2 linked regions of the Arabidopsis thaliana genome follow. The main gene of each other region encodes a partner of the protein of the gene in region 2 in a complex. Each region holds a gene or a part of one and is shown on either strand. Other genes may lie near its edges. The genes, in order: PSBW and PSB28.

The links.
Region 1: PSB28 (region 2) and PSBW share a complex: the UniProt entries of both Arabidopsis thaliana proteins name them as parts of the photosystem II complex.

Annotation. Positions count from the first base shown.
Region 1 is NC_003071.7:13,018,508-13,022,590, forward strand, and holds PSBW (photosystem II reaction center W), read right to left. Parts: upstream 1,805-4,083; 5' UTR 1,547-1,804; coding exon 1,453-1,546; intron 1,127-1,452; coding exon 819-1,126; 3' UTR 521-818; downstream 1-520. Other genes in the region: AT2G30560 (glycine-rich protein), read left to right, coding at 58-350; LGT5 (los glycosyltransferase 5), read right to left, coding at 2,057-2,332, 2,485-3,006, 3,445-3,799, 3,937-4,083. UniProt on the Arabidopsis thaliana protein: Stabilizes dimeric photosystem II (PSII). In its absence no dimeric PSII accumulates and there is a reduction of monomeric PSII.
Region 2 is NC_003075.7:14,148,022-14,151,846, reverse strand, and holds PSB28 (photosystem II reaction center PSB28 protein), read right to left. Parts: upstream 1,968-3,825; 5' UTR 1,840-1,967; coding exon 1,725-1,839; intron 1,396-1,724; coding exon 914-1,395; 3' UTR 749-913; downstream 1-748. Other genes in the region: AT4G28670 (cysteine-rich RECEPTOR-like kinase, putative (DUF26)), read right to left, coding at 38-460.

The sequences.
Region 1 (4,083 bases), on a different chromosome or scaffold from region 2:
AAGTTTTCTTAAAGAGTCACTAAGAACTTCTAAGATTTCAAAGAATGGAAGGAAAAGGTGGTAGCGGTGGAGGAGGGAAAGGTGGTGGTGGAGGAGGAGGAATAAGCGGCGGTGGAGCAGGAGGGAAAAGTGGTTGTGGTGGAGGGAAAAGTGGTGGTGGTGGTGGAGGAGGGAAAAATGGTGGTGGTTGTGGAGGAGGAGGAGGAGGGAAAGGAGGGAAGAGTGGTGGCGGTAGTGGAGGAGGTGGCTACATGGTAGCGCCGGGGAGCAACGGATCTTCTACCATTTCAAGAGATAAGTTTGAGAGTGATACTAAAGGTTACTTTGATAATCTCCATGGTAAAAAGTGAGTTTGGTCTTTATTGATCATCTATGGAGAATGGAGTGAAGATGGTTTACTACCAAATATATTATGTAATGAATGAATAAATGATAATTTGCTTTATTGTCTTACCCCATGTTAACTATATGTGTATTCATCAAGAGACTCTAAAACTTGTGTAATAATCAGTGATTGAAATGTAAATGTAAGATTAATTTATCAATTTGGTTCTCACTGACCATTATGGATGGGCTTTTGAATACATCCATTTCAATTGTTTGGTTTTGATGAACATGTCATGCATGATATTTAATAATCACATAATCTCCTCCTTATCAATGTTATGACAAGATAAAGAGAATGGGGGAAAGTAAACACACATGAAAATAGTTTTTAGTCTTTACTTAACAATTACAAGAAACTAGAAGGGTGAACACTTTTGATTCATGTTCTCACATGAAAATGGAAATGAGAAGACGAAAGATTGATTCTTCCTTCAGAGTGAAAGACCAGATTCTTCATCCTCCTCGAGAGATGAAGTGTAGACGAAGAAGAAAGTCCAGATCAAACCAAAGACTCCAAACAGAATCCAACCCAAGAGGTTGTTGCTTAGACCAAAGGGTAATCCTGTTCCTTCTGTTGACATCCTCTCATCAACCAAAGCCATCGCGGGATTGCTCATCACCGCCGTCAAAGCAGCTGTTGCTGCAGCTGAAACTCCAGCCCCCATGACTGAGACGTTTCCTTGCTTTGTCTCCATTGAACATCTCACTCCTCCCTTCTTCTTACCCATTGGAGGCAAACCTGAGCAAACAATAGTTAAACTGGTTACAATCAACATTTGTTTATTGTTGATTCTCCACTAAACTAAAGTTTGGTCTAAAATCACACTCTCATTTACACAATACTTCTATTATTAATGTTTGGTTCTGACTACAATCAAACCTTTAGATCAAAATTGTTTCTTGACTTCTTGTTGATTCACCACCAAACTAGACTTATCTCTATACATGTTTTCAAAACCACTCAACAAATATAAGCAAACAAAGATCTTCTTCACTTTGCACATAACCAGAATGAATTTCTACTAAAAGATGAGATCTGAGAAAGATCAAGGAAGGCTTTTTTACCAAGAACAGGAGCAGAGATGGCGACGGTAGGCTTGAGAAGGAGAGCCGGACGAGCGGCGGAGACGGTGGAAGCGGAGGCAGTAAAGCTAGCCATTTCTCTATTTGCTTCCCCTAACGACTGAGAGACTCTTCAATTGATTTTTTGTTTGTTCTGTTTGTGTTCTACAGCAACAAGAACACTTTTAATTTCTTTGCTTGTGTTGGCTTTTGGATCAAACATAAATATGTGGTGGATAAAAAATCTGTTCGAACCAACACAAGCCATCTAACTTGGATATGCTTCTATCCATACTCCACCAATCGACGCCCTCCACGTGTCATATTTCATCTCTTTCCCTCCAACACAATCTTTTTCTCTCTTCTCTACTGATACATCATAATAAACTGCATCCAGATTGCAATATATAACAACCCAAAGAACGAACAACACCTATGTTGCTGTGAACTATATCTGATATTCTGCTCTGAGAATTTTGTGTGTTGTGTCAAAAAGAACAAAGATTTACACAAGAAATCGTTTAAAGAATGAAGCTAATTATAACATTTTGGAAAGAAGAAAAGAATCGAATTGAATCTAAGTTTTGTGGTAACTTGTTTCAAAAAATCAATCGTGAATGTTGCACCGTTGTAAGTGAGGGTGATGGTAAGGTACATGTATGTTCCAGTAGCGCTTGTACTTGTCTATACCGATGTCCAGCCATGGTTTCATGATCCCGTCGTAGTGTATAACCGCTGCTTGTTCGATGTCGCTTGCCCTGAGTCCTGATTCGTGACCTAACCCACCCACGTTCCATCTCTTTTCCAACGGAAACGTTTGCCCGAAAAAAGTCAACCAACCTACTGGCAATCCCCCTGCTTTCCACAGATGTCCTTTTACTCCCTGCAACCAAAACAACAATTTCACAACATACACATATGTAAGATGTTCTATTGACGGACATAAGCCACATTAACCATTTTGAATTCAAAACTCATCAAGGTAACAGTGTGAATTTTTGATGCAGAGAACTAAAAGGTGATAAAATGTTGTACCAGGTCGAAGTATTTCAGGTATACAGAAGTCAACTCCTGTCTTCTCCATTCTTCGAGATCAAATAGATTCATCCCGAATGCCCAAGTGCAAGCCTTGGGATCAAATTTCTGAGAAACCCATGCATCTGAGAAATTAATGAATGAGTCCATCGAACGATATGAAGGATCACCTTCAAGACAAGTCTCTACAGCTCCAACAACTTTCCCCGTCATATCAAGGCTCCACAGTCTAGTTAGATCCCTTTGCACTACTACATCATGATCGAAGAGTACGATCTTGTTTAGACCTGGGAAGATATCTGGGAGATAGAAGCGTGCATGGTTGAGCGCTGAAATGATTCTTGGGTCACTTGAATTTTGCTTCATCAGCAATTCAGCATGGTACAATGGCAGGACATTCATTTCATCAATGTTTAGGATTTGGATTGAAGCTCTGCCACTTGGGTTTAGTAAAAACCACATTGAGATTGCTGGGTAATTGAGTGAATCTGTCACCACATGGAATACTATTTTATCCGGTTCCTGCAAGCAGTAATATCATTTGTTAAAAGACATGTGGCTTCAGCAGAGATTCGGAAAAGAGCATTAAAAACACAAGTTTGGATCGGGAATCTTGCATTAACAAGTTTAAGATGCTTGCAACATGATTTAAAATGATACCTGAGTTTTGAATTAACAAGTGTAAGATGCTTGCAATATGGGGCATAAGTTTTGAATCATGAAAACATAAAACAATGCAAGGTTTCTCAACTGTAATTTAAAAAAAGATAAAGTTATTCACTGAACAAAGAGCACACAAAATGTAACTTCCTTTTCCTAGTTTCATAACTAGACAATATCCTATATATGGTACTAACCACAGTAGAAGCCTAAAGCATTTGTCCAGATATCAAATTCAGGAGTATAAAGGAACTGAACCACAACATGTTGAAAGAAAGAGAATAAAGGTGAAACATTTACCTTTGATGAGGAGATTGTAGAGTTAACAACAACCGAAGAGGCCAAAACATTGTCAGAGAAGACTACGTAATGGTAGAGATCAGGATCATTATAACTTTGTTGCAAAAGCTGCCTTTTTTCGTGATCCAGGGTAAAATATTCTGTTGTCAACCGCATTGAGAGACAATGAAGCCCTTTTGGGGTAGTCCTTGCTGCAAGCTGCATTAAATATGCTGCTTGTTTCTTCTGCGCCCGAGCTTGTTCTTCGGTTTTATAAGTCATGGCTTGGAGTTTGGTAGCAATGGCAGGGCAGTTGTGAAAGGCACGGCTGACCTTGTATAACGCAACTTCCATGGCCTTCAATCTGTTAGGAGAGCTGAAAAGAAACAAAACATTTATGTATGACTCTTCTAAATTAACACAATATTCATTAAGATTTAGCTTCATAAGTAAAGGCCAAAACTTTTTACAGGATGGAACAGGACTCCCTTTGAATCAATCAGCTGTGCTCACCTCTTTGGCAAATATTTATCCTTGGTAGTATCACCAGTAGCCCGTTCCAGCTCTTTCGTTCGAACTCTCAACTCCTTTACGATTTGGGAGTTATTCCCAGGTAGGGCCAAATTCAGATAGGCTTTCGCTTGGATAATTTTGTCTCTG
Region 2 (3,825 bases):
TTCGATATGAGATTTCTGACAAAACATAACCATCTACCTTGGTGTCCTGATGAGAAACAGGTTCTTGATAGAAGCTGTAATTATCAGCTCTAACGAAACAACCGTCGAGGTGAAACCAACCACCGGTGGCCGGGAAACATTGAGAGAGGAGATCGGTAGCACGTGACCAACATAAACTACATTCGTCGGATGAGAGATCGCTAACACACTGCGACAAAACGTACATTCTCTCCGGAGGATCTCCATGTTCATGAGTTCCAAACTTGACATGCCTCATATCACCTCTGATCGCGTCGAGGTTAATCTGATATGATCTCCGGTAAGCCTCCTCGTTGGAGACGGTGCCGTTGTTACAAATATATCCGAGGACGTCGATTCGAGAGATTTTCATGGACATTGACGGAGCTAGTAACGTTAACGGCAAGACAACGGCCAAAGAAGAGATTAACGTCGATGCCATGATGCAGAGGAACAATGCTTTGATGCCCCTTTTCATAATAAACTATTCTTAACGACTTTTGGCTATATATGGTCATCAACTTAAAACCGGATATGCTCAAAGTTCGGTTTAGTTTTGATTCTGTTCAATTTCAGTGGAGTGTGTTTTCTATTTTAAATCTCTTACACGGTTTTGGTTTAATTGGATTGAACACTCGTAATATAAACACAAACACAGTTAAGTATTTGACTAATAGCACAATTCATAATGAAATTATGATCATACCTTTAGTAAAATCATGGATTTGTTTAGATTAAACCAAATTTAATCAGAACAAAAGCCTAGATTACCATTGTAAGTTGAAACTCAAGTAAAGATCAAAACTAGGAGAGTACAAGATTATAAATCAAAAGAGTGAAAAAATTTAATGTAACATACACATTTTGTTTTGCTCATTGAAAATTCTCTCCAACCTCATTGCTTCTTAACAAACTGCAAGCCATTCTGGTCCGAGTATCGCTCCATAAACCTCATGAACCTGTCCCATTCTTTCGGCGATCGCATTATGTGCTTCGCCACAATCCCTTCCGGTTTCCCATTCACGAATCTCGCGTTCACATCCGTCGACTGAATCACACCTTCCTCATCAATCATGTACAATCCTGTAATCTCTCCGACTTCACCGCTCGAGTCGAAAACGGATGGTTGGTCGAAAGAGAACAGTGCCATTCCGTTGCTTCCGTCTCTTGATCGAGTCAGCTTAACATCAGGGATTGTCATCTCATCCGTCCCTTGGATGAATTGGAGCGCCGGCTTTACCATCATCGTGATAGAGACGGGTTTCATCGGTCTTAGAGCTGTTCGGGATGATGGTTGAGCCCGCGGGAGAGAAACAGGGGATCCAGTGAAAGATGAGCTTTTGATGGGAAGAACAGAGCATGAAGATAAGACAATGCCTGCAACAAAAGGGATCAAACTATGGTTCTTAATTACACACTTGAAGTTAATTGATAGCGAGACATGTAAAAATCCAATCTTTTTCCATAACCCTAATCCACAATTACTTAGAACACACATTTACTATGAAACCATGATCAGATTACATCAAGTTACTGCCTTAACAACTTGTTTATCAAATCAGAGAAATCATGAGCTCGCAAAGAAACACGATTTATACCGATTCGTTTCCGATAAATCTCGTTACAGTTTCGGATTCAGCATTATACCGAAAATTACGGGAAATTTTCCTTATTCAAGCTACATGCAACACGAAGATTTCAACTACCAATTCGACGAATCAAAAGTGCGAAATTAGGGTTTTTTCGCGTACCTGAGCGAGGAACATTTCGTTGAGAATGGTTGACAGAAGTTAAAGAACCAATCGACCGAACACAAGCCATATCTGTGATGTCTGAGTGCACGAGGAGTTAGAGACACAGAGAGTAAGAAGGAGATGAAGCAAAAAGCTGTGGTGTGGTGGCGGGAGAATCGTGACGTGTCACTACCAAAGCCGTTCCTTCATTTGGATACCGTCATCGTCTCAACTTATGGGCTTTTACCTTTAGGCCCGAGATGTTTATAATAAGCCCATTTTGGTCAAATTGTCATATAATAAACCCATTTTGGCTTTAGACAGAGTCAGAGAGTCTCTTGCTGTCTCAGAGGTTTTTAAGATGCATGAAACACACGTGGCACATGCGTGTAGATCGTAAGGAAAAGCTGGACTCTCAAGTCTGTGATGCCATAGCGAATCCCATGGCCTGATCCCTGATGGCCATGTGACGAATCGTCAGCATACATACTTACTTGTTAATATATTAATTAGTATGGTATTAATAATATAACCCAACAAAACACCATTTGCAAAGAGTTTAGGTACTTATTTGTGGGATTAGGTTTCTCTCTCTGATAATACAGAAATTAATACTAAATTAAGTCACTATAGGTGCTGATCCACATGCATCCCATTAAGCCTTCAAACCTCTTGTAAGTGTTTATTTCTTTATGATCTATAGTCTATAAAATCTCCTATAAACCATCCATTGTTCTTTTGGGTAATAATTGATTATTATAATATTTATGGTGTAGATCAAATTTATTTATTTTCCTAAGATATTGTATATATCAGTGATCAGTCGAAAGATTCAAAACTGAAAAGTGTATTCTATCAATTATATAAAAAAAAATTACTTACTGAGTAATCGTAGAATTTAAGGTATTTTATCCAACGATCGAAAGGATAATTAAGCAAATGAAGAACTTAACTACGGATCGGAATGTTTTCTAAAAACAACAAATAATAAGAAAGAAAAAACAATTGTATAAAAGACAGGTCCACATGAGTGCATGTGAAGCAACAGTTTGTGTTTAGTACTGTAATAAGAAGGATGGAAACATGAAATCAGTAAGAGGAGTGGGTAATTGTTGGAGTATTACAATAATTGTTTTGATGAATATTATGCGTGTGCATTTCTCTGCCATTTTCCCACAAATCATTTAGCATTTAGCTTATCTTATCCTTTATCAAATTGATCAGTTAGTTTACCTCGACCCGTTCTTGATACATACATATCTGTTTGAGTTTTTAAACATCTTGGTGTTGAATTTGTCACGGTTATTATTTATCAAGTTTGGATTCTTTTTAGTGATATCAAATTACTATGCTATGCTAATTGGGCAGTCTGAAAAAAAAATAAAAATTATATTCTCTCGTTTGACGTACGTTTTTTTTATTCCGTCTCCATTTTACTTTACCTTAAAGGCATTGGCACTGACTTTGGGTGTATACGTCTACACATGCTTTTAGTCTTTTAGACATCAGGTAGAAAGTTTACGAAATTAGAATTTTATATCTGAAGAACGTTTAAGAAAGTAGCATTTTAATTAGGGACAATTTGCTGATACATTCAAGAAGTGATACAATTAACCACTTTATTTAATTTTTATTTGTTATATTATCAACAATATTATACTATACCTATATTACACTGCCATAAATCTGTAACATGGGAAGATTCTTATCTAATCAATCATGCAAACGAAAGAACAGTAACAAGCCTGCACTCTCTGCAGTGGCATACATTATAGTATTCACACTTTTGTTACGCATCAAGGTAAGTATGATTGAACTAAAGAAATATGTTTTCACGTATAATGGCCATGAGTGGGCTCGATCTTAATTTTTTTTAACCAACCAAATAGAAAGAAGCTTTTCGAAATTCAAAAGGGGTAAGAAGAAACGTGAAGATCGATCGTGGGAATATCTTCATTATTGCTGATTTTAATTAATAATGAAATTTATTTGGACCTATCTGATATTTAAATATGCTGCAGAGCATAGGGTAATAGGATCATCTGTTCTTCTTCATCACATGTGCAGGTCACCC